Xenopus tropicalis: one gene and its partners. The protein of the gene in region 1 purifies or fractionates together with the protein of each later gene. This does not show direct contact. Links are inferred from orthologs where the notes say so. Each region holds a gene or a part of one and is shown in the gene's direction. Other genes may lie near its edges.

The links.
Region 2: the proteins of actr2 (region 1) and arpc1a purify together in Homo sapiens (affinity purification with mass spectrometry; 9 studies listed by BioGRID and IntAct, counting the BioPlex papers as one, with this or other methods). This does not show direct contact. The link is inferred for Xenopus tropicalis from reciprocal best matches to the Homo sapiens genes ACTR2 and ARPC1A.
Region 3: the proteins of actr2 (region 1) and coro1c fractionate together in Homo sapiens (co-fractionation; 3 studies listed by BioGRID and IntAct, with this or other methods). This does not show direct contact. The link is inferred for Xenopus tropicalis from reciprocal best matches to the Homo sapiens genes ACTR2 and CORO1C.
Region 4: the proteins of actr2 (region 1) and churc1 purify together in Homo sapiens (affinity purification with mass spectrometry; 4 studies listed by BioGRID and IntAct, with this or other methods). This does not show direct contact. The link is inferred for Xenopus tropicalis from reciprocal best matches to the Homo sapiens genes ACTR2 and CHURC1.
Region 5: the proteins of actr2 (region 1) and cttn purify together in Homo sapiens (affinity purification with mass spectrometry; 3 studies listed by BioGRID and IntAct, with this or other methods). This does not show direct contact. The link is inferred for Xenopus tropicalis from reciprocal best matches to the Homo sapiens genes ACTR2 and CTTN.

What each region holds. Positions count from the first base shown.
Region 1 is NC_030681.2:31,959,053-31,964,940, reverse strand, and holds the end of actr2 (actin-related protein 2), read left to right. Parts: intron 1-1,993; coding exon 1,994-2,126; intron 2,127-3,163; coding exon 3,164-3,334; 3' UTR 3,335-4,552; downstream 4,553-5,888. UniProt on the Homo sapiens protein: ATP-binding component of the Arp2/3 complex, a multiprotein complex that mediates actin polymerization upon stimulation by nucleation-promoting factor (NPF).
Region 2 is NC_030685.2:41,697,822-41,704,274, forward strand, and holds the start of arpc1a (actin-related protein 2/3 complex subunit 1A), read left to right. Parts: upstream 1-1,976; 5' UTR 1,977-2,078; intron 2,079-4,946; exon of another isoform or gene 4,947-5,192; intron 5,193-6,453. UniProt on the Homo sapiens protein: Probably functions as a component of the Arp2/3 complex which is involved in regulation of actin polymerization and together with an activating nucleation-promoting factor (NPF) mediates the formation of branched actin networks.
Region 3 is NC_030677.2:146,435,774-146,442,271, reverse strand, and holds the start of coro1c (coronin-1C), read left to right. Parts: upstream 1-2,164; 5' UTR 2,165-2,294; intron 2,295-2,432; exon of another isoform or gene 2,433-2,664; intron 2,665-6,498. UniProt on the Homo sapiens protein: Plays a role in directed cell migration by regulating the activation and subcellular location of RAC1. Increases the presence of activated RAC1 at the leading edge of migrating cells.
Region 4 is NC_030684.2:107,706,601-107,713,051, forward strand, and holds the start of churc1 (protein Churchill), read left to right. Parts: upstream 1-2,487; 5' UTR 2,488-2,568; coding exon 2,569-2,607; intron 2,608-4,933; coding exon 4,934-5,069; intron 5,070-5,792; coding exon 5,793-5,863; intron 5,864-6,451. UniProt on the Homo sapiens protein: Transcriptional activator that mediates FGF signaling during neural development. Plays a role in the regulation of cell movement.
Region 5 is NC_030680.2:14,570,659-14,576,546, forward strand, and holds part of cttn (src substrate cortactin), read left to right. Parts: intron 1-1,166; coding exon 1,167-1,247; intron 1,248-2,628; coding exon 2,629-2,702; intron 2,703-3,317; coding exon 3,318-3,447; intron 3,448-4,968; coding exon 4,969-5,079; intron 5,080-5,888.

The sequences.
Region 1 (5,888 bases):
ACATAGAGCTATGCAGTGTGGATCATCTCTTATCTATTAAAGGAACAGTAACATTAAAATATGAAAGCGTATTAAAGTAATTACAATATAATGTACTGTTGCCCTGCATTGCTACAACTGGTGTGTTTGCCTCAGAAAGACTATTATAGTTTATATAAGTAAGCTGCTGTGTAGCCATGGGGGCAGCCATTCAAATGAGAAAAGGCACAGGTTACTTAGCAGATAACCGATAAAATGCCATTGTATTCTACAGAGTTTATTTGTTATCTGTTATGTAACCTGTGCCTTTTCTCCTTTTTTCCAGCTTGAATGGCTGCCCCCTTGGCTACACAGCAGCTTATTTATATAGACTATAGGAGCGTTCTGTAGCAAATACACCAGTTTTACCAGTGCAGGGCAACAGTACATTATATTTTAATTACTTTAAAACACTTTCATATTTTGGTGTTATTGTTCCTTTAAGTGTGTCCATTAAAGGAACAGTAACGCCAAAAATGAAAGTGTATAAAAGTATTTAAAATGTACTGTTACCCTGCACAGGTAAAGTTGTGTATTTGCTAGAGTAACAGTACTATAACTAATAAATAAGCTGCTGTGTAGCCATGGGGGCAGCCATTCAACCTGAAAAAAAGGAGAAAAGGCACAGGTTACATAGCAGATAACAGATAAGCTCTGTAGAATATAATGAGGCTTTATCTGTTATCTGCTAAGTGCCTGTGCCTTTTCTCCTTTGAATGGCTGCCCCCATGGCTAGACAGCAGCTAACTTATATAAACTATAGTAGTCTTTCTGAGGCAAACGCACCAGCTGTACCAGCACAGGGCAACAGTACATAATATTGTAATTATTTTTATACGCTTTAATTTTTTGATGTTACTGTTCCTTTAAACAATTGCTTCAGGTTTTCATTTAAGCAATTACTTCCTTTATACAGAATAAAAAATACTGTGCAATATATCCGTCAGTGTATGCCAGGCATTAGTGGTGAAGAACCTAGTTACCGGTTGTAAATAGCAATATACACTACATTTAGTTTTTTTGGTCATTTGCCTCATAGGAAACATGATGTTGCCTTATTTCCCCTTTAAAGTGATAACGACATTTGGAAGTTCTCAGTATCCTTCAGCTGAGAGGTTCCCAAATTTTTGGACTGCTCCCCTAGGGAGTCCCAACCTCAAGGGCACCTATGTTATGCATTAGGTATAGCAAGGTAATTGCTGCCACTTTTATTTTCATGTATTCTAATGAATGGGAGGGCCAAGCAAATATTAAAGAAATGAAGTGCGCTTAAATTTATGAATTTTAAGGGAGCAGTATATCCACTTGAAGTAGTAGTTGAAGCAGCATGGAAAGCATTATTGGCAGAGTTTATATACAGGAATATAAAGGAATTGACCATCTTAGTTCTAGTAATATCTTCCCTTTTCGGAGGTGAGAGACAACTTCCTGTTCAGCACAATGAGACGTTAATGAGCACCTTTTGATATTAGCTGTAGTTAACAAATGTTCCAATCCTTGAATACTGTGGAGTAGTATATGCAGACAAATACAGCCCATTCAGTGGTGTGCCACCTTGTATTTTGGGTCTCTGACCTAGAGCTGTGAAATGCTATGAGATTATACAGGCCATTCAGCCTCATTTAGAAAGAAACGGCGTCCTTTGTTTATATGGTATGTAATTTGAGCTGTTACAGTATGAATACTGTTTCATGTCCCAGCTTTCCTCGGACGCTAATAACAGCACGAGCAACTTCCTGTGTCTGTGTTTGAACTAAATATGGAAACGGGTAAAACAAAAAAAGGCAAACAACGTTAAAGAAGATAAAATTGTTAAAGACAATTGAATTTAAAAACACATACCTGTTAAATCTTTCACCTCCCAGCATGTTTCTATAGATGTTTGTTATGGATGGAATTATTGTTTTTATTCTGCTCCTGCACTCCTCTGCAGTACATAGTAAATGCTGACATCTGTCCCTTTGTTTGTTTCCAGGCCAGAGTTCTATAAGCACATTGTGCTGTCAGGGGGCTCCACAATGTATCCAGGATTGCCCTCCCGTTTAGAGCGAGAACTGAAACAGCTCTATCTGGAGCGAGTCCTGAAAGGAGATGTTGAAAAATTATCGGTAAGGCTTTCAATTCTTGTTTTCTTTAAAAAATAAATTATTTTGTTAAAAGCGGTGTGCTTTCTTTCTGTTTTACAGTCTGAGTGTTGTGCTGCACATTACAACCTGTGGCACGTAGGCTTAAAGTTGCTTGTTTTGCTTAGCAAATTATAACTTCATCTTAACCTGGTACTGATTGTTCCCAAATCAACACAGCATCCTGAATTGCCATACAACATATTTCAAAGCCAAATGTGTGTTCTAGATAGAAATCCAACCCACAAACTGCATTGCCTGTTGGTAATTGTTCCGTACATTGTGGCGGCTCAGTATATGGAGTGTGGGTGCCTCTGGGAGCTTGGCAGTAGGCTGAAATCCAGTGTATGTGTTCCCCATCCATGCTCTGCTGACAGAGCTTTATATCATCCATTTTGAGAAACATATGATTTTAACAATAGGTGATACAACATAAATTTTGTTTATACCCCCTCAGTTGACCAACATTTGATGAGGGTCTCCTAGGCTTACAGATCAATAGAAAAAAATAGTAATAACACTCATTCTGTTGTCCCATACTTATCAAGGACAGCAAATAAGCAGTCACCCTAGGTCTTACATGAAATTGCATTGAGACTGAGCATGTAGCAATTTAGTTAGCAATTAAGCCTTCATGTTTAAGGTCCAACATTTGGCCAAGGCCCTCTATAGCTCCTTGTAAGGTCACAGATGCAAACATCAATGTATGATAAATTTAGCATACTTAGTATAGAGTGAGCTATGGGGGTGAATACTAAGTTTTGAGTGCTGTCTTCAGGGGTATCCTGGGCCACATTTAGGCATTTGCCACAAATCTCATACTAACTGGCCTTATGAACAGCTCCCAAAACTGTGATACCAGAATGAATCAGGTGCTGTTAGATTGAGCCAATCCATTACACTGTAGTAACATCAGAATGTATGCCACTTTGACTTGTGTAGAGTTATATGCTCAAAAATTAGGTTGTGTTTCAGTGCATATCATGTTTTTTCTTCATCTTTTTTTCTTCTCCTTATTCCAGAAATTTAAGATCCGCATTGAAGATCCTCCCCGCCGCAAGCACATGGTGTTCTTGGGTGGAGCAGTATTAGCTGACATCATGAAAGACAAAGACAACTTCTGGATGACGCGCCAAGAGTACCAAGAGAAAGGCACGCGTGTTCTGGAGAAACTTGGTGTGACTGTACGATAAACACAACTGCCATTTCCCATCGCTTCTCTAAAGCTTTCCTTGTTTCCTTTATTGCCAATCTCTGAACTCATTCAGTTCCATGACTTTCTTGGAAAGGCCTGTCTGTGTCCTTTTGACCTAAAGATGGGAGTTTTTTTTGCCCTGTTTCCTGAGGAGAGCTTTGTTCCATGTTTGTTAATGTACCTCGGTTTGACTATTTAATATGCCGTGTCTTTACAAACACAAAGCTCTAACCACAGAGCCTAACTGCTCCACATTGTCCGTTCTCGTTAGACATTTGGCCAATCACAGTAGGCTTTTCCATCTAGTGTACTGCTCTAAGGCTGCTAGCTTTATCTTCTACTCACCGGGTGGTTTGCCTTTTGTTTCTATAAGAGAATCCTTTAAAAGCAGCTTTTAATACCATATCCTTGGGATGGACCCTTTTTTTTTTTCCTTTTTTTCCACATTAGCCTTCTCGTACACAAAAAAAAATCTAGATTTTTTTTTTAAGCAGTTATCGGTAATTGTGATTTATTTTGTACAACAATTTACAAATCCCTCTGCTGCTTTCTGTCACTTTAGTTATAAAATCTAAATTTTTGTTTTAATTTTTTTTGTTTCCATGTTTCATTCTTAGAAGGTACACTTCTACACAGTCATGTCTGTTGTTAGGGCGCAGCATTAGTGTGAAGGAGGTCCTTTGCCCATATTGTGTGATAATCATTGTTAGGCATCACTTACATATAGTAACTCAGTGGCCCTCCAGCTGCTGTTGAACTTACCCAACTGCTAAAGGCTGCCAGGGTTTTGTGGGGATGTAGTTCTTCAGCAGCCAGAGGTGCCCTGATTTAAATGGTTTTATCCCCCCTTCTTTGCTGTGGGCCTCATCCAGCCCTGCAAACAGCACCATGTAACATGGGAATTGCTGGACTTTTTTTCTTTTTGCCTTTTAATGAAGCACTTGATCAGGTGACCCATTCCACTGGGAACAAGCTCATTGACAAGAAATTATCAGAACAGTTAAAAAGTTACAAATGTGTTTGTGATTATTCCAACAAAATCTAGAGAATTCCTATCTATCTATGAATTTCTTTTGTTTTATTGTTTTCCTTTGTGCGCTCGTTTCTATAGAAGCGCAGTGAATAAATTTGCTGTTGCTGTAAGACAGTGCCAAGTGCGATTCTTCCAAGAGGAATGTTCCCAAGACAAAATAAATGACATATAATGGTTATCTAACCCACGTCTCTGCTAACGTCTATCCTTTCCACAAAGCGACAGTTGCTGGGGAGAGCGATTTTATTTATAAATGCTTGTTTTTTGGGGATAATTCATTGATTGTATGGTGATAGCTTGCTAGGATTTGTTTCGTTGCACTGCTCTCTAACGCACTGAGGGCTTTTAGTATGTGTGTGTTGTGCTACCTTCTGTATCGCTGCACGCCCACTGTTATTCACTTGCAAATGGCTGGAACCATTCGCTGAGTGCCACCACTGAATCCAATCTGACACAAGACCTGGGTCCGGATGTTTAACTATAAATGTACAGGCTGCTGTCTGTTATAAAGGTCTATATTATCCTAGGAACTGAGCAACCGCTTAGAAGTCAGAATGGAAGATAAATAGTAGAGGGGCAGCATATAATCATAAGGAGTAACAAAAATAATCTAGGCATTTAAACTCCAGTCAGTCTGTGAATTGATTACTAGGGTCAGTGACCCTGGCAGTTTGGAAAGAGGCAGATTAGGAAAGCAAATAGGATTTTTAAAATATTCAGTTTGTCAACATTGATGAGTAACCTCAAACGCAATGAACTTATTAGGCATTCAATAGCAAATACACATAATTAATCTGGACATTATGGTAACATGGAATTCCTTTATATACACCAAGTGAGCATGATACTGTAGCTTATTATGCACCCAGCCCAGAGTATTGTTTATTTTAGGGAACTATTGTGTTTCTTTATCCTAAGGGGAAGATGCTGTGCTCCCTTGGGCGCAGGGCGAGAGGTGCCGCGCTCCCTTGGGCGCAGGGCGAGAGGTGCCGCGCTCCCTTGGGCGCAGGGCGAGAGGTGCCGCGCTCCCTTGGGCGCAGGGCGAGAGGTGCCGCGCTCCCTTGGGCGCAGGGCGAGAGGTGCCGCGCTCCCTTGGGCGCAGGGCGAGAGGTGCCGCGCTCCCTTGGGCGCAGGGCGAGAGGTGCCGCGCTCCCTTGGGCGCAGGGCGAGAGGTGCCGCGCTCCCTTGGGCGCAGGGCGAGAGGTGCCGCGCTCCCTTGGGCGCAGGGCGAGAGGTGCCGCGCTCCCTTGGGCGCAGGGCGAGAGGTGCCGTGCTCCGCTAGGATGATACATGTCAGATAATGTTGAAATTGGCAAACTGCATATAAGAATTCCAATGTGTCCCTGCACATTGATGGTCCTGTAGATATGTGCAGTATTCTGCTTGTCACATCTCACATAGAACCAGCTTTCACCTTTAGAGCATATGTATTCAATTCAACAATAGGTGGGTTAAAGCAGGAGCTTTGTACCTAGCTGGCATACATACCTTCTAGTTCTTGCTATGTGCCTGCCTATTC
Region 2 (6,453 bases), on another chromosome or scaffold:
GCACATCCGTTTATGAGCATGCGTGCGCGCACTGTTCTCTTCGTTGCGACGATTATGTCATTTTGCCGTGTAAATATTTAAAGCGTTCTCTGCCTCTGTTCATTGTCGAACGTAGGTTTCTTCTTGTGAGTTCCTGGGTGTGTTATTAGTGTTTTGCCGTGTATTGACTCTTACCTGTTCCTGACCATTCTTGTTTGCTGCCTGAACCGACCTTTGCCCGTTTGACTATTCTCTTGGATTCTGATTCCGTACTGCGCTGCCTGACCGTTGATGACCCTGGCCTGTCCCAGACTACCCCCCATCTTCCTGCCACACGATTGGTTCCCTTGCCTGCTCAGAACTTTCTCCTTGGGTCTCTCACAATAAGTCCTGGCAGCATCCAAGTAGCGAAGGGCTCCTCCCGACGTGAAAGGCAGCTGTTATAAGCAGAAGCGTGAGCCGTGACCGGACCCTTGGCGCCTGTTCTGAGTTTTGGGATACCGATTGTGACAGTGAGGACACAGTAGCACAACTGATTTTGTTCAAGAAATTAGAGTCTATAATCCCACAATTTGTTAATCCTGCAGGCAAGTATCACAGCTGTGTCTTACATACTGTTTGATGTGGGCAACCCTTGTTTAATAGATACTAATACGAGACTTCTTTAAAGGGCTGATTTATCAATATTCGAGTTTATGCTTAACAATTCGAGAAAAAACACAGTGAAAAAATGCAAATGCAACTATACTCCAGAATATTGTTAAGAACCATGAATAGTCGGTATTTATTAAAGAAAAAAATCAAAAAGTAAATTTGCCAGAAAAAACTCAGCAAGTAAAAGCTAGCTAGAATCAATAGAAGTCAATGAGAAATGCTTTTTTATTAAATAAGCTAGCAATTGATAAGAAAAGTAGCACAAGTTTTGTCACAGTAATTTTTTTTATATTTTAACTGCTGTTTTTATTTCCACAAACTCAAATTTTGATAAATCTGGCCTTAAATGTCTGGACAATTAGGAGAGTATAAAGGGAGAATACTTGCTCCTATACACATTATCATGTCATGAAAAGCACCTGCAGTTTGGGTGGACATAGCTAAAATACTGTGAATACCTTTAAAGGAGACATATTGGATAAATTAAAAAAAACCCTAATTTTGTAGGTAATTATGAATAATATATGGTGCTGGTTTCCCATTCGACTAAAATTGAATACAGTCTGTAAAAATAGCCCCTTTATTGGAGCTCCTTATAGACCCTATCAGGTCCCTGTCTGTGTTTCAAATGAAGGCTGGGCGTGTTCACACATAGAGAAGATTATCAGTAAATGATCAGCATTGTCTGTTTTTGTAGTTGCGACAAGTAGCTCTGTCTCTTCACCCTTACAAATAATTATGGCGATTGTTAAGCTAATTAAAATACTAGCATAGATTAGAAAATGTATACACAAACGCTATACATATTATGTTATGAATCAGTAACATAACTGTTACCTAATTTGGCCTTCATTTCTTTTTAATAGTGTTCATCTGTGTATTACTGACTCTTCCAGATAAACTGTTACCTGTCATAACACAGATCTGTATTTGTGAGATTAATACTGGTAACTGTTAAATAAACTTGTCATAAACACAAACATCCCAGTTCCCACAAAACCTGTTTCCTTTTTTATTAAATTGGGAGAAGCGATCGTTGGCAATCAAGAAAAGGTATTTTTTAGTTCCCTGGCAAAGAGTTGGAACTCTGCGCTGAAAATATAAATAAAAAATTATGATATTGGGAGCTTATCGAGCATGGTGACAAACCAACACGAGAGACTTCTTTTCTATTATAAAGGTTAGAGGTCTGTACAGGGAAAAAAATTATGAAAACTACGATAACTTGAGATCATCTTAAGATTTTGTCACGCCTGCTCGTCACTCTCACAGGGCCCCTATGTGTTGCGTCACTGCGCATATGTGAAGTCATGACGCCAGTCTCGCGTGATGAGACTTGTGGCTTTGGGATTGTAAGGGAAAGAGCTTGCAGGCATTCTATCAATAACCCTCCCTTCCAAAGTCGGTAGGTTACTGACAGCAGGGGACCAGATAATCTAAACTAAGTAAGTGAAGCGTTGTCGGGCCCACTTAAAGACCCAAACCCACCGGGTCTGGGACGACTATCCCCACCATGACGGGCATGTTTATGTGTCTCCTGGCCTACCCATGTTAAGATATTATTAACAATTAACAGGATAAAAATGGGCGAAGTGGATTGTGCTAGTACGATTTCATTTGTTTGGTATAAGCATATTTTATTATTTTTTAGCCGCCTTCAGGCCTGTACTGTGGGGCTGCTGTAATACTTAAGACAGTCATTATTGGCTGGCCCTCCGTGTACCTGAATTGCCAGGCCATACTTTGCATCTCCGGACCTGGACACCTTGCCCCCTTGTTCTGTAATGAAGACAGCTGTTCTTATTCTTTATTTATCTTGGATGGAAAGTATAATGCTTTTGATGATGTTGAGGACTCAACTTGGGGTCTTATGGCCAGTATAATAGTGTTGTGTTTATTGAATTCTCTGAATTTTCATGCCTCTTTAATGATATGAATGTTAGTTAAGAAACATTCATATCAATGTTAGTTAAGAAAGTGTAAACCTTATTGTGCACATACTGTAGTGTATTTGTGTTAAATATGAGCAGTGCTGGCTGATTTGGTTACCTGTGGTAGACATCAGTAAATATCTGTTGTGCTTAAAATAGACATATTGGATAAATGGAAAAAGCCCTAATTTTGTAGACAGTTACGAATAATATATGGTGCTGGTTTCACTTTGGGCTAAACATTAAAGAAAAAGTAACAAGTAAAAAATCTATTCCACCCTGCTCCAATAATTGCCCTATCCTGCACACCATTTATTATTTTGAATGCTTTATTAGTATATACCTTCTAAAACTTTGCATCCAGTCATTTCAAATGCGGTGCTACGCCAATCTTCCCTCTGCACAATCCACTATGCGACAATCAACATCTCCTCCTTGCCGAGTCCAAAACCAGAAGTCTGTATGAAGTTTGCCTGTACAGAAGGAAGGCTAGGAGGAGATGTCAATCTTCGCATAGTCGATTGTGCAGAGGGAAGATCGCCGTATTTTCCTTTAATCCTGTCTGTAAAAGTGGTCCCTATATTGGAGCTTCCTATAGATCCTATCAGTTCTCCATCTGTATTTCAAATGAAGAAGTGAGCATGTCCTAATGCTCCCTGCCAGAAGCACAGCAGGAGGGGGATAGCCATTCACAGCCCTGCACTCACACAAGCAAAGACGGGCTTCAGTTCCCTACAGTGCAGTGTGCTGCTGGCTCCCCTGCACATCCAGAGAATTCAGCAAGCAGGAAGTGAAACAGATGGGCGGGACTACTGGGGTTATGGTGGAATTTCTCAATAAATCAGTCCGAAACACAACTTTTTTCAGCACAATCCTTCTTCTATATTCAGAGGAGTATAATGCACTGGTACATTAATAATTTTTATACGATATGTCTCCTTTAAAAGAGCATGAAGTTCTTTGGTAAAGGGTAGTAATTGTCTCTTTGCCCATTTTTCTGGTGATATTCTATATCTATTAAGGGCCCCATTATAACAGTCTTGCAGTTATCTATTCATATGGCTTTGTCAGTGTGTCCAGAGGCTTAACTAATTAATTTACAGTTAGCATTACCCAAGTTAAAAGCCATAATTTTTTTCCACTGGCTTTTGCCTTGGGGAACTATTGCCTTCATTCTATGGTTGGACCATGTTATAAATATGTGTACCAGATTTACCTGATCTGCTTTAGGTGTCATGGATCAGATGATAGTATAGTGTTAGTCCTGATTTTTTTGGTGTACTGTTTATTTTGAAATTTACACTGCTTACATAACAATTATCTATTAAAATCTATTAACTGATGCATTTTGAAAAATACATGTTTTTCCATGACAGTATTCCTTTAACAAGGATATGAGATTTTCCCATAAATGATTTATATCATGGAGGTAGGGAGATTTACACCTATCTCTGGTAAATATTCGCTCTCAACCAAATGGCACCACACTGCAAACCGCAATTTAGAGCTATAGTGGATAGTTTAGTGCTATAGTGGATAGTTGCCTTTAAACTGTAACAACATACGATAACCATAATAATCAATAAGTTTACTAAGCAGCTGAAAATTATACTACTAAATGTAGTATCCTGTTATTCATACTCAAATATTTCAACTAGAATTTGCAAGTTTTCTTTTACTGTGGCAGTCATTATCCTGGGTTTCATTTAACTGAAAACTATTGAAAAAATTAAAATGTAATACAGGTATGGGATCCCTTACCCGGAAAAACCCGTTATCCAGAAAGTTCCAAATTACGGAAAGACCATCTCCCATAGACTCCATTATAAGCAAATATAATTTTTAAACATTATTTCATTTTTCTCTGTAATAATAAAACAGTACTTTGTGGTTGATCCCAACTAAGATATAATTAATCCTTATCGAAGGCAAAACAAGCTTATTGGGTTTATTCAATATTTAAATTATTTTTAGCAGATTTAGTGAGATCCAAATTACAGAAAGATCTTTTATTCGGAAAACCCCAGGTCCGAGCATTCTGAATAATAGGTCCCATTCCTGTACAATGAAAAAGAAAACTTTCGAAATATAATAAATACTTTTTGAAATGATCAAGTTAAACTCTTCTTTTCCTGTCTTATTAAAAGTTGGAGTCAGAATTGGGAGTCGGAAATTGATTGACCGCTTTAATATACCATTAGTGTGTGCTTTCATGTCTAGGCAATGCATTACTGTTAAAGGAGACATATACCATAATTTTTCAGTTTATCTTAAATTGCAGCTAACACTCTAAAATTGAATAAAATAAAGTGTATTTTATACCTACTGTTGAAGAAGGCTGTGTAATCCCTGCACAAATGCTAAAGCCCCTCCCTTTCACAGGGCTTCCGGCTGGAAAATAGTCTGTCTGTAGCTGGGGCCGCCGGCCCTGGCTTCTTTCCTATACAGACGCTGCAGCCACTGAGAGAGGAGTGGGCGTGAGACGTGGGCGGCGCCTTTGATGACGTCATTTCCCCGCCCACGTCAGTCACGCTGGGGTCCTTCTCAGTGCTGCTCCCGGCCAGCCCTGCTTTCCTGACTAGCAGCTCAGTTGAAGGAAGATTCGCTGCTTCTGTGACATGCTGGAATGTAAGGCACCTTAATTCTCTTTCTTAAAAAAAAAAATTATTTACCAAATCAAAAAAAACGTTATTTACAATGAAGATTGTGTTTATTCATTAGACTGTACCTAATGATAAATGATGTGTGTTATTTGCTTGCAACTCCCTGCATCCATGTTAGGTTCCAATTATATATAGTTACAACTCCCTGCACCCAATCCTACAGTGTCCCTGCCCATCAGTATTACGTTCTGCAATCGCTATGAGAGTTTTTTTTTTACATGCAACTCCCTGCAACTTGTACTTTGACACCTAAACTGGCCGTTTTTTGGTATTTTCCCCTGCAACAACTCCCTGCAACTTGTACTTTGACACCTAAACTGGCCGTTTTTTGGTATTTTCCCCTGCAACAACTCCCTGCAACTTGTACTTTGACACCTAAACTGGCCGTTTTTTGGTATTTTCTCCTGCAACTTGTACTTTGATACCTAAACTGGCTGTTTTTTGGTATTTTCCCCTGCAACAACTCCCTGCAACTTGTACTTTGACACCTAAACTAGCCGTTTTTTGGTATTTTCTCCTGCAACAACTCCCTGCAACTTGTACTTTGATACCTAAACTGGCTGTTTTTTGGTATTTTCCCCTGCAACAACTCCCTGCAACTTGTACTTTGACACCTAAACTGGCCGTTTTTTGGTATTTTCCCCTGCAACAACTCCCTGCAACTTGTACTTTGACACCTAAACTGGCCGTTTTTTGGTATTTTCTCCTGCAACAACTCCCTGCAACTTGTACTTTGATACCTAAACTGGCTGTTTTTTGGTATTTTCCCCTGCAACAACTCCCTGCAACTTGTACTTTGACACCTAAACTGGCCGTTTTTTGGTATTTTCCCCTGCAACAACTCCCTGCAACTTGTACTTTGACACCTAAACTGGCCCTTTTTTTGGTATTTTCCCCTGCAACAACTCCCTGCAACTTGTACTTTGACACCTAAACTGGCCGTTTTTTGGTATTTTCCCCTGCAACAACTCCCTGCAACTTGTACTTTGACACCTAAACTGGCCCTTTTTTTGGTATTTTCCCCTGCAACAACTCCCTGCAACTTGTACTTTGACACCTAAACTGGCCGTTTTTTGGTATTTTCTCCTGCAACTTGTACTTTGATACCTAAACTAGCCGTTTTTTGGTATTTTCTCCTGCAACAACTCCCTGCAACTTGTACTTTGATACCTAAGCTGGGGTTTTTTTGCATTTTCTCCTGCAACAACTCCCTGCAACTTGTAAAG
Region 3 (6,498 bases), on another chromosome or scaffold:
TCTTCCTGAGCTTAAGCTGTCCAGCCTGCTTTATAACATCCTCTTGGTCCTTTTTCTAATTCCCTGAACACGGCAGCTTGTTAGAATTTCCAAGAATACTGAATAACTGAGTGCTTAAACTTATGTCAAATGGAACAAACAGGGCCAAATGATCGAATTAGCCTGGATTCTCACGATATTGCCCACCCGAAGGTGGGGGATATCAGGAGAAGATCCGCTCGCTTGGCGACATTGCCAAGTGAGCGGATCTGAAGGTGTATGGGAACCTTTACTTTATAAAGGGCTACAAACATACACAACACTGTATAATCCTACAATACACACAAATATAGTATTGTATTAATATAATAAAAACAACGAATACGTAAAAATACACAGATTACATGCCATGAGACACAGTAATAAGGAGGTCCCCGTCCCTTAGAGCTTACAGTCTAATAATGTAAGTCCCCTACAACAACGCCTCTTTTAGGTATGAAATTGGTTTAATAATAGTGAAATGCCTTCAGTTCCAAGCTACATATAACACTCTGCAGAAATTAAAGGGTGATTCACCTTTGACTTAACTTTCAGTATGTTACAGAAAGTCCAATTCTAAGCAACTGTTTAATTAGTCCTAATAATTTGTTTTTAATAGTTTTTGAATTATTTGCCTTCTTCTAACTCTTTGCAGCTTTCATATGGGGGTCACTGACCCCTGAGCCAGAAAACTATTGCTCTGTGAATCTACATTTACTTTACATTACTTATTTTTCTATTCAGGTCTTCTGCTATTCATATATCAGTATTTTATTAAAACCACACCCTGGTTGCTAAGGTAATTGGATTCTAGCAACCAAATAGCTGCTGAAACTCCAAGCTGGAGAGCTGCTGAACAAAAACGGAAATAACTGAAAAACTACAAATAATAAAAAAATGAAGACCAATTGCAAATTGTCTCAAAATATTACTCTCTACATTATGCTAAAAGTTAACTCAAAAGTGGACAACCCCTTTGGAGCTGACCCCTTATGTCAGTATTAAATGTCACTCTTAAAAGGGGGTGGACTTGCTTGGGCCCATAGGTTGAATACTTTTTGGTGGCGTTGGGTAGTCCTAATATGCAATTCGAGATAATACATTGTGTTTATGCGTTTATGTCATCTGTAGGCTAACTAAGTATTGTGTGGCTAATAATATATAAAATAAAACTGCAAGTTAACTATTTTATACCAAGAATGTAACTATGCATGGAGCCTGTCCAGATTAAAGACTGGTGTATTCACTAGTGTATTTTCCCCATACAATTCTTGTGAAGGAGATTCTTCAGAGAATGTATGCCATAAAGAAATAATGTATGTGGGAAATTACCATGGATAAGGTAATGTAGGTAATAAGATGCAAAAGTGTCTGCTCTATCTTCATAATGGTAGCTTGCCAACCTGATACTGTTGCTAAAGTCAATAGAATGTTGTTTTTACCAATGTAAAAAAGATCAAGCAAAGGCTCCAAATTAATGAAAAATATCTTTTATCATGTATTATTTTAAGCAGGGTTCATTCTGGCACAGTATGTAAAATGGAGCCAGTGGCAATTACTAAGCCCAGCCTGAGGGCCATAAGGGTGGTAGTAGGAGCACTAATTTTCCCACATAGTCTTTAAAGGCCTGAGTGAAGGCCAACTAGGTTGAGTATTTGGGTGAAAATTAGTGCCTTTCATAATATTGTTTCTATAGAAGTATGCCTGCAGTATTTATTACCTCACTTGGGGTATAAGGGCGGTTCCCAACAATTATTGCACCACATATTGGAATGAACCTAAGTACATACTTTGTGTACACATATAGGAGCACTTGAGAACTTCAATAACGTCAAATGCTATTGTTAATTTTAATCATATCAAATACATTCTTAATATTTCGCTAACGATACATGCGCGAAACAAAATCACCGCAGTATTTAGGTCTACAATACATATTAATACGCCTCAGCATGTATGGAACTACTTTGCGTTCCCTCCCTATTGGGCTACTCACCAAGCGGAGTGATAGTAAAATAGTTTCGGCTCTGGGTGCAGCCCGTTCGCTCGCCCATTGGCTTCTAGCTACGTCAGTCAGAAGCGGCGGGAGGGAGGTGGGGCCCTAGTTGCGCTTCCGGCTGCGAGGTAGCGCTGGTGTGAGTGGTACATTTTGAGTGCGGGAAGGGTGAAGTGTGAGTGCCTCTTCCCTCAACCCAGTCAGAAAGACGACAAGGACCCACTCCCGGCATATACGAGCCACTCCAAAGGAGGGCACCAAGAAGAGATCATTGAGTCAGGTATGGAGTGATCACTTGATTTCATGTGCCAGCGCAGTATAATTAACCCTGGATCTGCAGCTGCGACTCTCCAGCTGTTTTTGCACTACAACTCCCAGAATCCACGTGTGGCAGTGCAGTCACGATTACATTGCTGTAGGTTGCCCTTTTGCCCATTCTTGGTGAGTAAGCCCAGCCTTTGCCGTTTCCGTAGCAGTGGCATGGTCTGGTGTAAGTGCAGCAGGACCCATGATATGTGTTAATTGGAATTCATTGTGGAGAAGTGATTCGGTGACGGGCCTGCAGTGCGGCCGGGCTGGGCTGATGGGAATAAAGAATGGCAATGGAGCAGGAGGGCTCGCTGTAGGAATAATAGAGTGCCACTTATAAGGTATCTGTGTGAATCTGGCTGTATAATATTAACCCATCTGTTCGCTTAATTGGGCAGGGTAAGAGTGAGTAGGTGCCAGTGGGTAAATTTGGGGTGGGGGATCAATAATGGAACTATAGAAATCCCTTGCTGGTAAGAGTGCCTACGTTGCAGGAAGCTAAGGGTTGAGAATGACATTACAGGGCTTTCTCGTAAATGACCCTTATTGCCCATTAGCCGGTTATTGACTGATCATGGCTGTGAGCATTTGTCATTCCTTGCTTTTAACCCTTGTTTGCCATCCAGTTTCCTCACTGAAAGGCTGTGCCTTATGGTGTGGCCGACTCTGCTCTGCCATGATTGCTGGTTAAGGGTAAGTAATATGCTGTGTGAAAGCTATTTCTTGAATGGAGAGTGCAGACCCCATGTCTTTCACTGATGTTTTAACATTTAGTTGTATGGTTTTTATGGCTTTTTACCCACTAGAGGTAGTGTTTTATTGGAGTCCATGCATATTTCATTTGTAGCCACAGAGCAAGCAGTACAGTAGATTTCTTTTACAAAAATCTGTGCACTATTTGGATAATTATGGCTTGATGTAGAGAATATTAAACATTCCGTTTTTGTTTATCAATACTGAATGTTTTTTAGACAGTTTATACATTCCCACTAAATTCTTTTCATTTTGGATGGCCAGTGGGGAAGGTTTCAGCGATGTCCACCCGCACCGTCCCTAACCTGTGAAACCTTAAAGCGCACCTTATCCTAACCCGCAAAATGTTGCCATTGTAGGACCCATGCCCAAACTGTACCAGTGTCTTTCCATGCTATACACAACTCCTGTGTGCGCCTTAGGTTTCAAGACAGAGAAACTTTGGGAGCAGAGGAAGAGTGTACTTCCCCAGTGTGACAAGCACCCAACCTGAACCTGCAATGGTTATCCAAATTTCAACCCTAACTCGAGGGGCAACCACATCACTAGTTGGTTGCATCCACCTGACACACATTTTTAAAGTGCCCTGTGCAAAAAAGGCCAAGCTAGTTTAATGTTGCTGATGGTTTGGCATTTGCTTTTTTGGTGCTTCATATTGATCATTTTGGAATGGGCTTTTAATGCTTGTATTAGTACTACTTATCCAGTGTATACCTGCTGTTACTCTTTCATATATATGGCAATTGGCAGGGTGTGTGGCAGTACTGGTGCTCTACATGTAGGGTGTGTTAGAAGTTTGATAAATAACCACAAATAACTCTAAAAAGTCTGTATAAACACTGTCTAACTTGGGTGTGTTTTATGGCTTTGTTGCTTATCACCTCTTAATTGCATACTGTACTGCATTGCTCTCTGTGAGGGATACTCGCTGTGTCATTTCTTCCACTATCAAAGCCCATGTTAACTTCAAATATAGCTGGCATGGGGCCAGTATATTACCTCTGGTGCTGTTAGAAAAGAGATGGTAACCCTTTGCACTGGTTTCATAGTACAGTTTTCCTTTTCTGGTTTGTCCTTTACATTGATTAGCTGGGAGGGGGAGATGCCATGTTATGTTAGAAATGAATGGCCATATCAGTGCTGTCTGGGTGAAGGATGCACATACAGATACAGGAGGGCAGCTGCTGTATGAATTCCCTCTGTTGTTTCTCTTCCACTCTCCCCCTTCATATATTCTTCTTAAGCTATGTGACTTAAAGAAATTATTTCGCCCTGGAGGAGACTTCCTTCTGTCTCCTCTGCCTTTTGTAGGGAGTGAAAGGAGGTGGGGAATTAGGGAAATTCATTAATATGGAATTTGTAAAACATTTTATTCAGAACACAGTGGTCTACAGCAAACTGCCTTTATCCATACACATACAAGTGGGAGGCATGTGGGGGTTTGTGCTTTGGAGCACAAATACATTTGTTGGCTGCAATCCCACAGTTCTTTTATAGATGGGTTTTACTCATTAAAGGTGCAATGTTATTCTTAGGGAAACAGAAGATACTATGGATTGCTTCTGTCTGTCTTCATTACTCTTTCCATCTGTTAAGCACCTCCTTCTCTTGCTCTTTCACCCATCCGTCATTTCTCTTTATACTAGTTCCCTTTCCTGCACTTTCCTTTTAGCATCATGTGACTGCTCTGTGATTAGAAGCTTTCACATAAAAGTAATATACCTTGATACCACATTGTCGGTTGATGAGGGGCACTCTTAAAATTTGTAAATGCAGCTTTATGCAAATACTGATAGATTTGGTCTTCCTTTCTACGTTTTTTTAAAATTTATTTTAATTACAGCTTTAGTTCTGCGCCTCATTAGTATTGTATTTGAACTAATTGAGTCCTCAGTTTGATGTTTTTTGTTATCTAGTTGCTAGAAATAACCCTAATCTGGCAGTAAATGGCAGGCTGAAGAGAGGCATAACATGCAAAATAAAGATTTATTTTTTTTTTTTTTTTTTAAATCTGTAGTTTTTACAGTTCGCTTTTTCTGGCAGATATTGTTTAGCCCAACACACAGAAATTAAAAGAATGGTGTAATGTCCCTCAGGGGATCAGCACCCCCACAAGAGGATCAGTACAGTTTACTTCACTGTCTGTTGGTTTTATACCTCCATCAGCCCCCTGGTAGAATCCCCAGACAGTAACCCGCCTACTAAACTTTGGGAGCTTTGGAGGCTAGACCTCTTCACAGTACATCTACCCCAGCCTCTTTTGTGTTTCACCTCCTACACAGCTTCCTCAGGGTCATGTCAGGTAATGACTCTTCTGATAATTGGTTACCAGGTTAGGCATGATCCACCATACGTGTGTATAGTTTTTAGGGCATTGCCTCTGCTTACAGAGTATTTAAGAGGTGGTGCAGCATAATTTGGAAGGAGTTACCATCTCAGTGCATAGGACAGGCCCCATGCATCAGGCTTGGGTCAGCAAACCATCACCTATAATTTTTTTCTGCCAAAGCACCATTTCAGCAGATGGATGGTTCAGAGAGGAACCACAACTCCTCCTCACGCCCTATTAAATTTGCTTGGTTGGGCAATTGGTTTGAAAAACAGAACAATGCTGTTTGAACTGTGGATAGCTAACAGTCTGTTTGGTCTGTGAACCAATAGTTCAAATACCTTGGAGGCCAGCCAGTGTATGGCCAGCTTGAGGCTTAAAACAACAAGGTGCTTTTATTATTACTTTCATCAGTAATGGTCATGTGGGTATTTGTTATGCGAAGACCTAAACATAGACAAAAATACCCTATGTCTAAGTCTTCATATAACAAAAATCAATTAAAGTATATTCTCAAAAATTTACAACTGTAAAATATTCATGTAGTTTTGTTATGGGGAATCTTTAGCTATGCCAAGCAGCAAAGGGAAAGCTGCAATAAACTGTGTAGACTACATGCAGACTGCTAATATGTGGCTACTGAGCAGGAAAATCTGTACAGCTCTATTTTAAGTTGGGTATGGCCTGTTAAAACTGTTAAAAAAAAAAAAAATCAATTGGAATTTTGGATTCAGAAATACAAAAACCGCAAGAAGCTACCTTGTAAGATGAACTGGAATACTTAAATAATTTTGTTGTCGGAAAATTTCATCTGACAGCACAGGCTAAGAATTCTCAGCTTAAGTTAATAGGGTGGCTTTGAAAGTTCCCATTCAGTTTAATATTATTTAATATTTCTTGTTAGTAATTAAAATATATTGTAAAATCGCTGCTTCACAGTCACTCAGCCCACAAGAAGCTTAGTTTCAACCAGTTCAACATAATTGTGCGTTAGATCATTTGGTATATAGAACAATGAATCAATAACATGAAGAAGACCGGTGTCTTGCAAGTGTCATCATAGAAAAGAATGGTCTTAGGCCATGCACACACA
Region 4 (6,451 bases), on another chromosome or scaffold:
GTCGGTTCGGATCCGACTGGATTTTCTAACCTGGCCGATCGATATCTGCCCAATTTCAGGCCAGATACCAGTCGGCCAGGCCCCTCGGTTCTGCCCCTACACGGGCCGATAAGCAGCTGTAATCGGCCCGTGTATGGGGACCTTAAAGGTGCCCATATACCTATGGGTGGGCGATATCGGGTAGCAGAAAACTTAAAAAAAAAATAATCCGATCGTTTGGCCTGCACAGCGTGTGCCATCCCACCGGCGACTTACATTTTTGCCGGTGGGATGGTAGTTCGGGGAGATTAGTCGCCCGTGACAAGGGAGATTTGTCGCGGGGGACTAATCTCCCCGTGTGCCAGAGCCCTTAGACAACCTCTGAGGCCGTCACAGAGCAGCTGTATTTGTACTGACATTAGATTACACACAGGTGCACTCTATTTAGTCATTAGCACTCATCAGGCAATGTCTATGGGCAACTGACTGCACTCAGACCAAAGGGGGCTGAATAATTACGCACACCCCACTTTGCAGTTATTTATTTGTAAAAAATGTTTGGAATCATGTATGATTTTCGTTCCACTTCTCATGTGTACACCAATTTGTATTGGTCTTTCACGTGGAATTCCAATAAAATTGATTCATGTTTGTGGCTGTAAGGGGGCCGAATACTTTTGCAAGCCACTGTATAAGCATTAATAGTGTCATATGAGGAAACCTCTACTGAATGCTTGCAAGGCAGAGGCACATGTTGCCTAATATTACATAAGCCTGTTCTACTCAACCTGTGCAATTGCTTATCTGAAATAGTTATATATTATTATGTCATGCACTGTGGAGTGTAAAACCATCTTATAAACCTGTGAGAAGTGTGCCTCAGTGCCATTAACTTTAACGGGTTACCCATGCTCTGAGGTGGTGTAAAATAATAGTGTCCATTACTGCTGCTGAAAAAAAAATCATACTTCCACAAGTTAAAATTTGTATTGAATTTTGCCTGCTGTTTGCCAATGGAGTAAGGGGATATACACAGATTTCAGACACATAAATTCACAGGGATTCTTCAGACATTACCCTAGTTTGCCCCCACCCAAGCCACTCCCTGTAATTTGCACTTCAATTACAGTTAACCCATGCCACTGAAAAGAATTGAAAACACACACACAAATTAGCATAAAGAAACAGGCAGAGGTGGGAGTATAATCCTCCAATGTAAACAGGTTTGTTTAGGGAAGGAGTCCCCAACCTTTTTTACCCATTATCCACATTCAGATGTAAAAAGATTTAGAGAGCAACTCAAGCATAAAACATGTTCCTGGGGGTGCCAAATAAGGCAGCCTATAGGAGGCCCTGTTTGGCAGTACATCTGGTTTTCATGCAACCAAACCTTGCCTTCAAGCCAAGAATTCAAAAATGAGCACTTGCTTTAAGGCCACTGGGAGCAACATCCAAGGGACTGGAGAGCAACATATTGCTCACGAGCCACGTGAGGTTAATAATGGCACATGATTTTCTCAATCTGTATGTGTTTGTCAGCAGTGACAGCAATGTCAATGTGCACTGAGCGTTTTCTGGCACATACTGTACTGTACCCTGCGTGTGCAATGCCAGGCAGATGACATTACAAACACTGCTGAGAGACACAGGGTGGATTCAGGCTGTAATGGTGTTTTTCCAGACACAAGCAAGTGCCTAATAAGTGCCATTAGCCAGGAATATGAGTGATTTTCAAAGCTAGTGTAGAATAAAGGCAAGTAAATAATATTTAGTAATGACTGTCTCGCTACTGGTGCAACATATAGTAACTATGGACAAGTTATTTTGGCAGGGTAACCATGTCACTAGCTTAATGTTACCAAATTACTTGAAAATCCAGCTAGAGGGGATAAACTGATTGCAATTTGATATAAATACAATCAGTGCTGCCCAGCAATGTGCAACATTTTGAAGTGATCTGGTAACCTCACACTAGCTATGCCTCTTCTATAACTATTACAAAAACAATACAGGTATAGGACCCATTATCCAGAATGCTCGGGACCAAGGGTATTCCGGATAAGGGGTCTTTCTGTAATTTGGATCTCCATACCTTAAGTCCACTAAAAAATCAATTAAACATTAATTAAACCCAATAGGCTTGTTTTGCATCCAATAAGGATCATTTATATCTTAGTTGGGATCAATTACAAGGTACTGTTTTATTTCTACATAGAAAAAGGAAATCAGTTTTAAAATTCTGAATTATTTGATTAAAATTGAGTCTATGGGAGACAGACTTTCCGTAATTCGGAGCTTTCTGGATAACGGGTTTCCTGATAAGGGGTCCGATACCTGTATTTATTTAGGCCGCAGTGCCTTGTGCCATTACCAGGTTTATTATCTGGCTACATCGCTTGTCCAGCTGCAGTAGTAGTTGCTTATTACAGTAACTATTACTACAGACACATTTTAGCCCTAAGCGCTGTAAGCGAGACCACTTCCTGGCATCGCGATGCTTCGTTTCCGGAAAGCGCAGCGCACAGAACGGTGCTTCTACTTTTTCCTGCGAGCGGGGATTTGTTCTGACTCCCCAGCTAAGACAGCGACATGTGCGGAGGCTGTGTGCAGGAGGAGTACCCGGATCGGGTGAGTGGCCCCTGGCTGCACGGAGCCTGTATAGCTATAGCGAGTAAAGGTAACTGAGAGCTCAGGCTTTCCGAGAGTCATGGGAGCTACCGCGACAGTCAATCCTAGGTGGCGCTGTTTATTACGTCACACCATTTCCTGACCAATCGGACTTCTCGTTACATCATGGTAGACTGGACTGGAGTGAGACGGTCATAAATTAGTTCCACCCATGGAGCAGTTTTAGTGTGTGTTATAATAAACTAACGCACTCGTTATACTGTAGTGGTCCATGTGCAAGCTTAACACTAATATGGCTTTGATATCAATATCTGGCAGAATAACCAAAATCAGCTGTATAGTAGGGGCTTCCTTGTTGGCCCCGGAGGTCTGGAGATTATTTATAAAGCATGTATGCCTTTCTGAAGCGCAAATGATATGTTGTTCAAATCAGTTCTTGCCCCAGTGGAGCTTACAGTGTAAGGCTGATGTGCCACAGAGAGATTTAGGGTGAAGACACAAGGGCTGAGTGACTTTTTAAAAAGTCTAATCTGTGCAGTGAAAATATGCGAGCGATTAGTTGCGGCGACGCCCATTATGGGCAAAAAGTCACCGCAACTGGCTTACTTAAAAGTCGCGGCGACTAATCACCCCATGTGTCTTCGCCCTAAGTTGCCCATGATAGATCTCTACTACCACGGCTGACTAATCTCTCTAAAATGCCTATCACTGGTGGAAAAGCCTATGCGTCGCTCCGGTTTTTCTAAAGTCGTGCAAAGTCTACTCCTGCAGGTAACTTTACCTCACTCCGGAAAGCCAAAGTAATACATTTTGGAGAGATTAGTCACCTGCGGTAGCAGAGATCTGTCACACGTGACTGAAGCTGGCCATACACGCACCAATAATACAAGGTTTCGTACGATATTCGGTACGTGTATGGCGAGTCGACCGATATCGCAGGAGGCTGCTGATATCGGTCGACTCGCCGATCGGGCCAGTTCAAAGATTTTGATCGGGCGCCTGACCAAAATCTGCCTTCAACGCTGAATCGCAGAAGGAGGTAGAAATTCTATTGTTTCTACCTCCTTATCTGCCATTTCAGCCCTGAACAGTTTGTGGCTATTTGTACGATCTTTCGTGCTACCGATAGTCGCACGAAAGATCGCAAATCGCCACGTGTGTGGCCACCTTAAATCTAATGGGTGTGTTTACTGGCATTGGAGATAAATATCATTGTTAATATTCCCATAGCAACCAATCAGCAATTAGATTTGAACAAGCGCCTACAAATTAGAAAACAACAGCAACAAGCCAATTACTTGCTACTGGCAACATTACTGGTGATATCTAGTTCTAGTGTTAGTAAACACGCCCCTTACATCCTATCACATTCACATTCTATCATGTACCAGTTAACCTGTTTGTAGCTTTTTGGAGTGTGGAAGATAAAGATACAACGGGGCAGTGGCACACAGGGTGATTAGTTGCTAGTGATAAATCTTCACTACTGGGAGCGACTAATCTCCCCGATATGCCATCCCACTGGCAAGAATGTAAAACACTGGTGGGATTTTTTATTATTTGTAGTTTTTCCAGTTTTTGTTCAAGAGCTCTACAACTTTAAGTCTCAGCAGTTACTTGGTTGCTAGGATACAAACTACCTTAGCAGTTAGGGTGTGGTTTGAATGAAAGACTGATCAGAAGGGGACCTGATTGGAAAGATAGTTAATATAAAGTTAAAATAACAATTAAACTGTAGCTTCACAGAGCATAGATTTTTTTCTGCAGGGGTCAGTGACCCCTTTTGAAAGCTGCAAAGAAAAATAATGCAAATAGTTAAAAAACTATAAAAAAAAATAATGAAGACTTATTGAAAAGTTGCTTAGAACTGGCCTTTCTATAACATACTAAAAGTTAACAAAGGTGAGCCACCCCTTTAAGCCCCGTCAGGCATGCCCTGGAGAAAAGTATAGGGTCCCGCTGTTACTGCTGCTCTTTAATCATTCCTTGTGCGTAAATAGGATGCTGAGAACTGTAGTTCGATAACAGGGTTATAAGTTGGATATTCCCCTTATTAATACTACACATATCTAACATTTAATATAATCTGTACTTTTACAAATGTTATTTTCTAGTTTTTGTAATTAATGGGTCTGCTTCAGCCTTCCTAAATGTGGCCCTTATGGCAGTTTGGCACACTGACAGTGAGATTTTTTTATGTAGTGAAATATTGGGTTGCCTCCAAACCTATTAGCATTGCAATTAGCAAAGCTGCATTGCCATTCCAGTGACCAGTTTATATTTGTCAATTGCCAGTATGTCTAATTTCAGTTTATTTTTTTTTCAGGGCAGCACATGCTTGGAGACAGGTTCATTCTTGTTAAACTATGTGAGTTGCGTTCAGTGCAATAAGAGAGACTTTGTTCTCATAGTGAATAAAACAGCAGAGGAAGAGGATGGTGAAGAGATTATCACTTATGATCGTAAGCATTTTTATCCACTTAAAGGCTGCCAACCTCGAGAAAATTGTTTGCTTAGTTATTTGTGATGCGTTTTGTTTTTGTGTTTTGAAGTCCTGTTTGCATGCTCACTGCAATTTGTGGTCCCCATGGCTTAAGCCATTTAAAGGGCACCTTTCACCCCCCCCAAATTGTTTCCCTCACTAGAGGTGCCAATAGAGCCGCACTGGTTGGGGGGAACGGTAGTTTTTTTCAACAACAACAAAAAATTGCCCCTAACAATGCTAGGCCACCCACATTGTGAGGGAGCTCCCGGTGTGGTTGACGGCAGTAGCATAACAAGTGTGCACCAGACCCCCCCTGCAAAAAAAATTTCAGAAGGACCCTGTGCACAGCAATCCATACCCATTCCCCCACTGGGCCACTTCCCGCCACCTATTGGCATCTTCTGCCTGCATGGGTCGTCCCTCCCCAGTCACTCTACTACTTGTGAGCAGGGAGGAAAAACTATAGAGGAAGAGGACCTTGGCCCCAACAACCGCAGGGTTTGCTTCCTCTATATTTATGCCACTGGGCCCCACAGAACCACAGGGTCTGCTTCCTCTATAATTGACACCACTGGCATGTGCACTATACAACATGGCCAGGGGCTGTTTTTTTTTTTTAACTATCGTTTTTCTCAACCGGAGTGCGGGCTGTATGTATGCAATATAATACAGATTTTTTTCTTTTTTTTTTATAATATAGATATGTGCAAAAACTGTCACCATGTGATTGCAAAACATGAATACACCTTTAGTGTGGTTGATGACTATCAGGTAAGGAAAATGATCATGCTGTCATTTTACTACATTTTAAGTATAAGGCATTATTTTATTATTTATGTATTTTTATTATTAGATTTTAAATTATTTGATTAAAATGGGCTCTATAAGAGATGGCCTTTCTGTAATTTGGAGACTTCTTGATAACAGATCCCATACCTGTAGACATCTGTAGTGCTAGAAAATGATTTGTAACTCTATGAATGTGCATAGTCCTAAGAAATATACAGTTCTGTGGTTCAATAAAAATATTTGTATGTGACTTTTTAGCATTATAAACTTTGCTCTATTCAAAAGTGAGCTGTGTAAAGCCAGTAACTATAACATAGTAGTAACAGAAAAATTTGCCCTGGCAGCTATCTTTCAAGCTAGACACTTAAAAGTTTGGTTGCTAAATTGCCCATGTTAACACATAGCACCATAGTAAATTAAAAAATATATATTTTTACAATTCTCTAAATCAGTGATCATCATCTTGCAGCTTGATGCATTATAACCCGCCCCCCCCCCCCACCACTCTATTCTTTAAAAGCTGCTTCAAGGAAATAAGGTCAAACTTGCATTTAGATTTGGCTCTATTAA
Region 5 (5,888 bases), on another chromosome or scaffold:
CGGCTTGTGATGTGTTGTCTGTCTAATTAGCTAAAATGGTATTTCTCACTCTAATAGGAAGCTGCATTCTTGTTGGTTTATATGGTACCATTGAGTGGATTAAATGAAACTGTATGAGACCCATTAGTTTAACCAAGGCCTCTCCGGCTTACTTACTAAGGTAAATTGCACCTGTGCAGTTGACCGTAGCAACCAATCAGATCTTTGTTTTCATTTGTTAAACTGCTCAAAATGAATTACTGATTGGTTGCTATGGGACATTGCAATGGCTCAATATAGAACCCAAGAGCTCAGCTGCAGCGGGTTTATTGGGTATGCGAACGTACGCGGCGAGGAGCCAAAAGTCAATCGCCGGGGGAAAAAGTCTGGGCACCCCTGATGCAGAGAGTCATTTTTTGAGACAATTTGCAATTGGTGTGAGTTTTTTATTTGCAGTTTTTTAATTATTTCAGTTTTTGTTCAACAGCTATCCAGGTTGCTAGGGTCCAAATAACCTTAGCAACCAGGGAGTGGTTTGAATGAGACCCTGGTATATAAATAGGCGATGACTTGAATATAAAAATAAGTTATAAAAAGTTACGATAACAATAAAACTATAGCCTCACAGAGCAATAGCAGGGCCCCACAGCATTTTTAAAATGAAAATGCTGTGGGGCCCCGTAGCAACTGTTGCATAAGCCCTATGTTCTGCGTAAGGCATTTCTGTGTGCCGCCCCCTCTCTTGTGCTTTCAAGTTGTCCTTTATAAAAAAGTAGGTTAGGCTTTGTGCATAATTGTGCCTAGATGAAGCAGGGCATCGCTTTGGGTCTTTTTCATGTGTTGGGAGGGGCCGTGCTCTCTAATTGCTTGCTATACTAACGACATAATGATGCACACTGCGGCCTGATTGGAGGGCAGCCAGGAAGTGCTGTTAGTGAGAGGGCATATGCCCATGTGACTGGCGATTAAGGGCTGTGGCATTCAGTGATTGAGACCAGCACCTCTCAGCAATAGTGACTGTCAAACAGCAGGAAATAACGTCCAGGCAGGATAACAGTATCTTTGCTTTGCCCTTAATGGGAAGAAAATAAATGTAAATATATATTTATATACAGATACAAATAAAACCTGTTCTCTTTGTTTCATATTTTGGCAAAGTTATTGAAGCTGGCTTTTATTTCTTCCAGATGTGGAAATCTGCCGCTGGACACTCTCTCTCCATCTCCACAGATGAGACCGACGACTGGGAGACAGATCCAGATTTTGTGGTAAGTAGAAAGGCCTCGAAGTATCTATTCTTTTATTGGGCAGCATGTTGGGCGGTCATCTGTGCAACGGCATCAGGGCTCCGACTTGCCCGAGGTTGTCCTTTTGTGCTGAAGGATTGGCTCTTGGCACCAAACCCTACTTCACACGTGTATAAAACAAACAGAAATGAATGATTAACCCACTGTAAGGGTGAAGACACACAGAGCTACTAGTAGCAGCTACTTGTCACGGCTAAAATAGACAATGCTGATCATTTATTAATAATTGTCTCTACATGTGTTTTAGTAGAGGCAGTTCCCAGCATTGTCTATGGCAGGTTATATGGCAGCCGTGACAAGTAGCTGCTACTAAGTAGCTCCATGTGTGTTCACCCTTAAGGTGGCCATACACGAGCAGATCCGCTCGCTTGGCGATGTCGCCAAGCGAGCGGATCTTCCCCCGATATCCCCACCTACGGGTGGGCGATATTGGGGAGCATTTAGGTAAAAAAAAAAATAATCCGATCTTTTGGCCCTGGGGCCAAACGATCGGATTATGTGGGCGGCAATGGGGCAGTCGGATCGGGGACCGCATCAACGAGCCGATGCGGTCCCTGATCCGACCAGATTTTCTAACCTGGCCGATCGAGATCTGGCCAATTTCAGGCCAGATATCGGTCGGCCAGGCCGCTCTGCTCTCTCCATACACGGGCCGATTAGCTGCTGAATCGGTCCAAGGGACCGATATCGGCAGCTATAGTCGGCCCGTGTATGGGGACCTTTACACTTGTCAGCCTCCAGTGATAAAAGTTTAAATCAAAACATAAGAACACTGCTCATGCAAATTGTAGTTTTATTTATTATTTTAAAATTTATTTTAAATATCAACCTACACCTTCCTGGGACCACACCTAGGGGGCCTATCTACAAACCAATCAAATTTGCTTTTGTTCTCTAAAGGTGGCTATACACTAAGATTAGCTCGTTTGTTGTCGTTGCCAATTGAACAAAACCTGCCCTAGGGCCAAACGATCTAATTAAACTGGCGGGCATAGTCGCTGTCTGCTTGGGGACCACAGCAACGAGCCAATGCAGTCCTGATCCGACAGAAAAATCAAACCTGTCTGATCGAGATCTGCCTTATTTCAGGCCAGATGTTTGTTGGGAGGCCCATCAGCGTTGCCCATAAACAGGCAGATAAGCTGCCGAATCTGCAGTTAAAATCTGCCCCTGTATGGCCACCTTAACTTGTAGGTGAGCGTTCAAATCTATTTACTGATTGGTTGTTATGGGCAGCATCACTAGTGATTGTGTTGGCTATAGGATATAAGTGGTACATGTGGCTGTTAAAAGCATTATTGCAAGATGGCAACTAATATTTTTCTCTTTTTTTTTTGGACAGAATGATATAAATGAGAAAGAACAGAGATGGGGAGCAAAAACCGTGGAGGGGTCTGGACATCAAGAACACATTAAGTATGTACTATGTAACAATCTAATTTACTTATTGGACCACAGATATATATATATCTGTGTACATGTTGATGTAGGGGAATTGTGATTTTACAGACCTAGGGTTGCTGACTGTTATGGGGGATCGATATCTGTACCCTAGGGTGGGCGCACACATGCTGAGTTGGAAGATATTCCAACTCCAATTGGGCCGGAGCATTTTCTACTCCCAGAGAGACTTATGGCCCTCTAAAGTTGTCCATACATGGAAAGATCTGCTGGTTTGAGCGGATCTTTCCATGATATGAGTTAGGTGATCCCAAGGGCTGAACGATCAGATTACATTGACAGAATGCAGGCCGTAAGGACGAGGAATGTTGGCAGCTTTTATCGGCCTGTGTATGGCCAACTTAAGCCCACTGTTGGCCATTGGTCTTTCCAGTTTTCCATTTTTTTTTACTGCAGCATAAGTTAATTGGCCATATAGATTTCAGAGGAAAAAATGTCTACCCAAGTGGCTCAGACTCTCTCCCATATCATCAGTACTGAAGTAAACATTCTCAGACTGGCTACTTTTTAAGTGTCTTTACACGGTGCCATAATTTTGACACTGACCTGTGTGTGCCCTGTTCTTTTCAGTATCCATAAACTGCGGGAGAAGGTGTCCCATGAACATCAGGAAATTAAGGAAAAGGAGTTAGAGATTGGGCCCAAAGCCTCTCATGGCTACGGTGGGAAGTTTGGTGTGGAAAAGGATCGCATGGATAAGGTGCGTGATTGAAGAGCTGGGTGACTGCAATGTTATGGTTAAATTAGGGGTATCTCTACTTGCTGTCTTAATGCCTTTGTGCTTGTACACAGCTTCTTGTAAAAGAATTCTGACTTTATTGTCATTATTATTGACGTGTATTTATAAAATGTGTGGTCCCCCCTCAGTGAGTTTTACCCACTTAATTCAGTACTCCTATTTATTTGCGTTTAACATGGCTGCCTGCTGGCGGTCCTTTGGAGACCTGTATAAGTAGCTCTTAGTCCAGGCACTTGGAATGCCTGTCATTTATTAATCAGCCTAAAGCTACGGCCCTGGGAGTAACCTTATTTCCCAGTCCATGCAACGCCTCTCCTGTATAAGGAAACCTGGTCCTTATTTGCTAAGTGCAGGGCTGGGTGCAAAGTGCAACAAATGGGTGCAAATTGCTATGTTTTTTGCAGTTTGCACCCTGCTGTTTGCTTAGCACCCCAGACACAGGCTTGTTCTTTTCTCCCCTGTATACAGTAATGTATCCATACAGCTGGGCAGGAGGTAGTACATGGGCATTCCCTGGAACAACCTGTTTTATTCAGATGCAATAGGGCCTTGTAGAGACCTACGTAGCACTAACACTTCTGTATTCAACAAAATGTGCCAAGCGGAGGCTGCCCTTGCAACTGAGTCCTAGCCTATATTAATAACCTGAGCAAGACTCCAGGGCTGCCTAGTATTTATACACACGCATGCATAGGGCTACTTAATCCAATTAGGTCAGAGCAAAGTAGTTGGTACTTGAGGCCCTCGTTGCTCTTGGTTAGCTCTCGAGTACAGTAGCGGCTGTGTTATCTGTGCCGGGTTTTGTTGCTGTTACAGCAGGAGGTTGAAGAGACCAGCACATGCTATTGGTACCCAGCCAAGAAATGGTCAGTAAATGAGAAGGCCAGCGGAGGAGCTGCCAGCCGATCTGTGGCATAATGAGCCTCATGCGGTGCCAGTTTATCAGTCGGCACCATTCATCTCGCTTTGTGTGTGTGTGTGTGTGTAGGAAACAGGAAGCGCTGAGTGAAATCAACTCCCTTTCCAAGTCTGCTCTGGCAAATGAAACAGATTCCCGCTGACTGCCTCCTTATGTGACTGTCAGATGCACTGCCAAGTCCTATCGGCTTTGTATTTTATAGCACCAAGTTACTGACAGGTCTTTCTCATTATGCGTTTAAACGGGCGTTACACTTACACATCATCCCTTCAAAGAATGGCACAGTTTGTATAGTTCATATTGGCTTGCACAGTGGAAGGAAAAGTAAAGGTGAAATTACTGGACGATGCCAATTTGCCTGATACCCAGCCAATGTCCTTCTTTTAAAGATGCACTGACCCGGTATACTTTCTTCTAAACACCATCTTTCTATGCACCCCCCTGGGCGAGTGCATGTACCCCCTATTTATAATTAGGCAATGTACTTTTTTTTTTTTTTTGCTTTCATTGTATTTCTTCATATAGGGTTCTATAAAAACTAAGCATTTCCCCTCTCTGCCTAGATGGCTGTCGGCCATGAATATCAGACCAAGCTCTCCAAACACTGCTCGCAGCTGGATGCCACAAAGGGCTTTGGAGGAAAATTTGGGGTTCAGACAGACAGAGTGGATCAGGTAAGCGAATGCCAATATCTGTTTTCTTTTATTGGGTCAGAGTGGGTAGCATGTGTTGGTCCTGGTATCCAAAGGCCAATGGCATACCAGGCTGTAAGCCAATCCACTCCTTTCTGTAAGTTGCACTGATTAGCACAATGTTCGATGGTATGCACACACACACACGGAGCGGATTTGGCTTTAAACTACAACTCCCAGTACCCACTGTCAGAGTGGGAAACAAGTTTTATAACTATCAACCAATAAAAATGTATAAATTAACTGCTTGAGCAGCTGTAAGCGATATAAATGCAGCTGAATGATCCCTTGTCCCAGTCACCATCATTCATCTTGATATATATATATATATATATATATATATATATATATATATATATATATATATATATATATATATATATATATATATATATATATATATATATATATATATATATATATATATATATATATATATATATATATTACCTTCTGCCCATTGTGACCCTGACCCTGCATTTTCTCCCAGGCATTACACATCCATATTCAGAGACATAGATTTAGGTCAGGTATCATTTGGTTCTTATTAGAAGCAGCAACGTTTGAAAACACTGATACACAAATTCAGCTTTATTGTAACTGCTGAACAAAGGGCAGTTGGATTCCCAAAAGTCCCAAAGCTATTTATATATATATCTATATATGCATCTGCTGTGCATGTATTATAGGATATAGGGCAGCGCTAGGTATGTAAAGCATCCGCAATGACTTTCAATCCATAAATATAGGTAAATGTCCCATGTGAGAAGTTGCGCTTGCCTCCCAAGCTG